2 linked regions of the Saccharomyces cerevisiae S288C genome follow. The protein of the gene in region 2 interacts with the protein of the main gene of each other region in a biochemical or structural test. Each region holds a gene or a part of one and is shown on either strand. Other genes may lie near its edges.

Region 1 (2,941 bases), on a different chromosome or scaffold from region 2:
TGACAGTATTTTCATGTTCGCCCTTTATATGATTTACTTCAGTAATTGAGGCATCGAATTTTTCTTGTAATATTTTTTGGTTGGAATTCAATACCTTAATTTCTGTATTCAACTCCTTAATCCTCTTTTTGAATTTTTCCACCTTGGCAATATCGCTCTCTCTTTCTGTATTTAGTTTATCTAACTTTTCATTTGTCAAATCTATTAGTAGTTGGTGATTTTTGTTCAATTTCTCGTATTGAAAAGACAATGATTCATTTTTGGAAATCAAAGAGTTTAACATTTGATTTAAGTGATATATCTGATCAGTGAGCTCCTCGTTTCTTTTTGCTACAATCTGAAAATTGTCATGTCTAATATCAAGTTGGTTGTCATCATCGTAGTCATTCCTCCCCTCTTCATTTGAGTTCGACTCCCTTGCAGAAGTCTCATACAAAGGAGTAAGCCTGTTTATATGAGAATTTGTTATATCATTTTCTTCGTCCTCCTTTTCCTTATAAGCATTGTCAATATTAACCACATTGTTACTGTTAGATTTTATGAAGTCTTCCTCTTGTTGTTTCTCATTTATATCATTTTCTAATTTAAGTGTGTCGGTATTGATATTGAAACTATCGTTTCTTTCAACTCCGTCGTTTATTATGAATTTATTTGGGCTTATGTTGGTCTCAATCATATCAATCGCCATTGGAGACGACATAATTTCTTCTTTGTCATTAATGATATCTTTAGTAGAGCTTTGTTTCAAATCAGGTACTGATTCTAACTGCAATTTCAATTTTTTATTAATATGGCTACCTTCTTTATCATTTTCATCTACGTCCACGTTTTTGTCGCTTCGTTTCTCTGAGGAGTTCATTTCAACTCTGATCGGTGAATAATTCAATGCAAGGACATGCTTATCACTAGTACTTGCGCCTCCTTTATCATCATTGGTACCTGAATCTGATTTTTTGTCATCAAACATTTTATTTATGTCTATATTCTCTAATGGATTGGCATTATTCTTGTTGTTAAGAGCTGATGACCTACCGTAATCAATCGAGCGGTCTAAATCCTGCTTCTCATCTTTCTCCTTCTCGAGCGGTTCATGAGGATGTATCACGAACTGGGAGGAACCAGGAGAGTTAAAGCTGGAATCCGGTTCGGAATTAAACGTGCGTGGGTTACGTTCTTGCGAACAGTTTTCTGAATTCTGCTCGCGTTGCTGAGCTTGCCCTAAAATAAGCCTAACTGGAGTGGTAGGAACTTCGTTCATGAATTACGATATGTGCTCAAAACCTTTTTTAACTGGGTGCCCCTTGACACCAATGATGCTCTTTTTAGTTAGTGTCCTTCAAATGAACCATTAAAGAGGAACTCATCGTACACTCTGAATTATAAATAAATAAATAAAGAATATAAATTAACGCGAAAAAAAGCTTCGTCAAGTATGATGTGAGACAGTTGAAGAAAAGATGAAGAAGCCAAATAACAAGGTGGATAAAGCCATACGGCATATTATCGGGGGCAAGCTCAAAGAAGAAAAGCGATAGTATCACACAAATCAAGGCCATACACAAGGGACATCGTTGGATATCATGTCGAATGCAGAGGCCAGCAGAGTGTACGAGATTATCGTAGAGTCTGTGGTAAATGAAGTAAGAGAGGACTTTGAAAATGCGGGTATCGATGAACAAACTTTACAAGACCTAAAAAATATTTGGCAAAAAAAGCTCACAGAGACGAAGGTAACTACTTTTTCATGGGACAATCAGTTCAATGAAGGAAATATCAATGGTGTACAGAACGACTTAAATTTCAATCTTGCTACCCCCGGCGTAAATTCTAGCGAGTTCAATATTAAGGAGGAGAATACCGGTAATGAAGGTCTAATTTTGCCAAATATCAATTCCAACAACAACATACCGCACTCTGGAGAGACCAATATTAATACGAATACGGTAGAAGCAACTAATAATTCAGGTGCTACCTTGAACACAAATACTAGTGGTAATACAAATGCGGACGTAACTAGCCAGCCTAAAATTGAAGTAAAACCGGAAATAGAACTTACTATTAATAATGCCAATATAACTACCGTCGAAAACATAGATGATGAAAGTGAGAAGAAAGACGACGAGGAAAAGGAGGAGGACGTGGAAAAAACCCGCAAGGAAAAGGAGCAGATAGAACAAGTAAAATTACAAGCGAAGAAGGAAAAAAGAAGTGCATTATTAGATACGGATGAGGTCGGTTCAGAACTAGATGATTCCGACGATGACTATCTAATTTCGGAGGGTGAAGAGGATGGGCCAGATGAGAACTTAATGCTGTGCTTATATGATAAAGTCACAAGAACAAAGGCGAGATGGAAATGTAGTCTGAAAGATGGTGTGGTGACCATCAATAGAAATGACTACACATTCCAAAAAGCTCAAGTGGAAGCGGAGTGGGTATAACTAAATCTTTAGACGTAAAGAAGAAAAAATGTATATATACAAGTACTATAATATCAAACTAAAAAAACGAAATAAAGAGGGATGCAACGAACTTGGTCATCTGTTGTCAAACAGCGCTTGTATGTTCATTAGCCGAAGTGACTTTGGCTCGGTTCCATAGCTTAAGGAGTTCAGTAACACCGGAACCTACTGAAATTATTTCGTAAGCTAGCTCTGAGTTATATTTGTCCCTTTTACCTTTAATATTAATTAGATTAGACAATAAGTTTAGTATTATCTTATAAAAATCCAATGTAATATTATTTTTCCGTAACTCCAAATTGACTTTGTCATTGGTAGGTAGTTTGTACTTTAACTCGTATTCCTTTATTGCATTACCACTGGTATTATAGATACTTAAATAAATTTCATCTCTTATTAGCTGTCGCCATTGTTCAATGTTTTTATTGATAGCAAGAATATTTAAAACTTCCCATAAGATATAGTGCTGTTCTTTGACG
Region 2 (3,757 bases):
AGTAGTTAACAATTCGTTTTGAGAATTTGAATGCGAGTGTGAGCTAGATGGGAAATGGTAACGATTCGTGTGAGAGCTATGTCGTTGGTGATTAACCTCAAGATTGGGCTTTGATGGAGTGGAGGGATCAGGGACGTTTGAATTAGTATTCGTAGTGGACGAAGAAGGAAGAGATCGCCTTGATCTTGAAGATTTATTTGATTTTGCAGACTTCACAGAATGGGAAGTCTCGGTTCTCGACACTTGAGGACGAGGATTTCTCGAGGAGGAATTCGAATGTGAATCCTTTTTCGAAGATTTTGAACTTGAATTACCCATTTTGAAAAGGAAGGAAAGATAAGCAGAGAGTGGTTGATTTGTTGTTTTATGACAAAGCCTCTAGGGGAAAAGAAGCGACTATAACGATGAAATAAAAATAAAACGATAAAGAAAAGTATAATCAAATGTATTCCAAAGAAGTACTTTTATATATAATCTTTATATTTAACTTGAAAGAAAAAGATTTAACATGTATTGCCAAAACAAACAAAACTAATAATGGAAGCTATTGTATTGTGCTTTTATGTTACCCACCTGCCAATGGTTCACAAGAGAAAGCTGATTAACAGAATTAGAAGATCTGCAGTAATCGTTTTCTTTTTTTTTTTTTCATTAATTTATATGCTATCCTTTTAAAAATAGACATGTCATTTCAAACGACATGTTAAAAATTATATATATGTTTATATATAGATTGATATATGTTGGAGCCGTTGGACAATTATGGGCAGCTATCTGAACATGGATCCCTGCCCTTCTCCTTGAGTTCTCCAGTAAGCGTTAGGCAAAGTGTCCGACTGCAGACGGTAGAGTCTCCACGCCTCACGGATGTGTTCGGGCAATAAGGGACTGTTGTTATATTTCTCGATGCTTACATCTAGTTTGTTGAATTGGAGGACGAGCTTATTGTACTGCTCGATGAGTTGTAGCTTCAAGTCCTGTGAATTATGGTCTGATTGCTGTAAGGATTTGGACTGTAGCAACGAGTTGCCCAGCGTAGTTTCGCGCTTGTCTACTTCTTCATCGTCGAAGTAGAAATCAGGTTCGTCTTCGGGAACGCTATCGGATTGATAATCTTGCTTGTATTGCTGGTTTTCTATGATGGAGAAAGTCAATTTTTTTAGATATTTTTTCAATTTATAGCCTATTTTGGTCCTCTTATCAAACTCTATGCACATTTGACTTGTCAACCACTTATTCTTCACAATCATGGCCAATTCGATTATCTCACCAGCGTATATTTTTCCCACCGCTTGCAGAAAAACACGAATATTTTCACTTATAGTTTGATTAGCTACTGTGCTAGCCAGTTTTTTGACCTGGGTTTTGTTTAGGGATGTTCTATGGAAAACTTCAAACCGATTAGTTTGATCTTTATCCAAGTTGGTTACCAAGAGCTTGAATTGTTCGTCCTGCGCAAGTTTTTCATTTTCATCTTCGTTGGTATTGGTGTCTTCGTAATTGCTATTTTGTGTTTGCTGTTGTAAAATGTCTTGTGGAAAGATCAGGTTTTCTGGGACTTTGTTGATAGAGTCCGGGTCTTGCTGATTTATCCTGGTTTTCTGGTATTTGTATTTTGGATATTTATTTAATTGGTTGTTGATTGATGTACCACCCGTTCGCAGGTTTTGCAATTTCCACGTAACGTAGTCCTGGTCCTCACTGATGACTTGGTCAATCATTTGTTTTGTGGAAAAATAGTTTGCTATTGTCAGTATTGGCGGATAGTTCACTTTCGGGATGGTGTCCAAAGGACCTTGAGGTTCGGTCATCGTTGCGCTGTTGAAGCTCAAACTTACTTTGTGCTCTTCATTTATATGGATAATTATCTCTATATACCTCTTCTTGATTTTTCAATTTCTTTCAACTTTTCAGTCGAAGAAATGGGAATAAGAGAAAAAATTCGGTAATGAACTGAACAGAGATGAGGTCTCGAAGAGCCAAGAAATAAAAGGTTAAGAACCAACATGGAGATAAACCAAGCGGCTGAAAAAGAACAGGAGTATGTTCACAAAGTGTATAATGAGATAGCTCCGCATTTCTCGCAAACTAGATATAAGCCATGGCCCATAGTGACTCAGTTCTTGAAGACTCGCCCAATGGGTTCCATCGGTATCGACGTCGGGTGTGGCAATGGAAAGTACCTCGGAGTGAACCCTGATATATATATTATCGGTTCAGATCGCTCAGATGGTCTTATTGAGTGCGCCAGAGGAATAAACCCATCGTACAACTTACTGGTGGCAGACGGGCTGAACTTACCACACAAAAACGAAACATTTGACTTCGCCATCTCAATTGCTGTAGTGCATCACTGGTCTACAAGGGAGAGACGTGTTGAGGTGATCAGGCACGTTCTATCGAAGCTACGTCAGGGCGGACAAGCATTAATATATTGTTGGGCTCTAGAACAGGGCAGCTCCCGTAGAGGTTACCATGAAGGTATGGAGCAAGATGTCTTTGTCCCCTGGGTTCTTCCCAAGAGTAAATCCAAACCAAAAACTAAATCAACGCCGCCTGCTAAAGTCAAGACAAGGCCAAAGCCAAACTTAATGAATATTCCCCCAAAGGAGCGTTCCGAATACTTGCAGCGCTGGAAGGAGGAACAGCAACGCAGTAAGTCTCTTGATGATAACGACGAGAAGCAACAACAAGATCAAGAACAGGAAAGAGAAGAGGTAAAATACCGATACTATCACTTATACCGAGAGGGCGAATTGGCTGAGGATTGCCGCCAAGCTGGGGCTGCCGTTCATAGTGAGGGCTTCGAGCGCGACAATTGGTGGGTGGTGGCCCAGAAGAGATGAAGGTGATATATAGGTAGACAGTGTATTTTGTAGCAGCAGGTATTACGATAGAAGTATGTAATAGCTTTCATAGTGTAATCGAAGATGCCAGTAGTCAATCATGAGGATAGTGAATTTCACCTTTCGCACACAGAAGAGGACAAGTTAAATGAGTTCCAGGTCATCACGAATTTCCCCCCAGAAGACTTGCCAGATGTGGTGAGACTGTTGAGGAACCATGGTTGGCAGTTAGAACCAGCATTGAGCCGATATTTCGATGGAGAGTGGAAAGGCGAACCAGACCAGATGGGAGAGCCCACTCAAACGTCTACACCCATGGCTGAGACCTTGGTTCCTCCCGCGTTGGGACCTAGACCGTTGTTATTTACAGCCTCACTGCCCGTGGTCAGACCATTGCCAGCGAACTTCCGCAATGATTTCAGAACAATTGGGCTAAATGGACGCTCTAACACTGTGTGGTCCATGTTTGAATCTTTTAGTTATGATGGTAACCCCTTTCTTTTTATTTTACTGTTGATCCCTCGGATAATCAATAGGTTATCTGCCACAATATTCACGTTCTTTTGCACTCTATTGTCCCTGCATTCGATAAGTGGTGGCGGTAATTCAGGAAAACCCAAGATCTCCAAGGTTCCAAAGGCACCAACCAGAGAAACCCATATCCCACTTGCAGAAATACTGGGTGACACGAAGGACAAGGATGCATTTTGCGAACTAAAAAGCTTTAAACCAGACATTTCCTTCAATGAGGCCTTGCGTATTGCAAAAGAAGAGTTTAAGTTTATGTTGCTCATCCTAGTGGGCGACACCTACGATACCGATACTGATACCGTAGATGTTAATTCTAAACTACTATTGGAAAAGATTTTGTTAAACAAGAAGACTTTACAGTACTTGCGCAAGATTGATAA

What was found.
Region 1: the proteins of TAF11 (region 2) and TOA1 form a complex in vitro, tested with the Saccharomyces cerevisiae proteins (one study listed by BioGRID).

The regions. Positions count from the first base shown.
Region 1 is NC_001147.6:711,183-714,123, reverse strand, and holds TOA1 (transcription initiation factor IIA large subunit), read left to right. Parts: upstream 1-1,580; coding exon 1,581-2,441; downstream 2,442-2,941. Other genes in the region: SLK19 (Slk19p), read right to left, coding at 1-1,258; PEX27 (Pex27p), read right to left, coding at 2,548-2,941. UniProt on the Saccharomyces cerevisiae protein: TFIIA is a component of the transcription machinery of RNA polymerase II and implicated in the regulation of basal transcription. Interacts with TBP (the TATA-binding protein).
Region 2 is NC_001145.3:241,219-244,975, forward strand, and holds TAF11 (TATA-binding protein-associated factor TAF11), read right to left. Parts: upstream 1,812-3,757; coding exon 771-1,811; downstream 1-770. Other genes in the region: PPZ1 (salt homeostasis regulator), read right to left, coding at 1-318; TRM9 (tRNA (carboxymethyluridine(34)-5-O)-methyltransferase), read left to right, coding at 2,007-2,846; UBX2 (Ubx2p), read left to right, coding at 2,931-3,757. UniProt on the Saccharomyces cerevisiae protein: Functions as a component of the DNA-binding general transcription factor complex TFIID. Binding of TFIID to a promoter (with or without TATA element) is the initial step in pre-initiation complex (PIC) formation.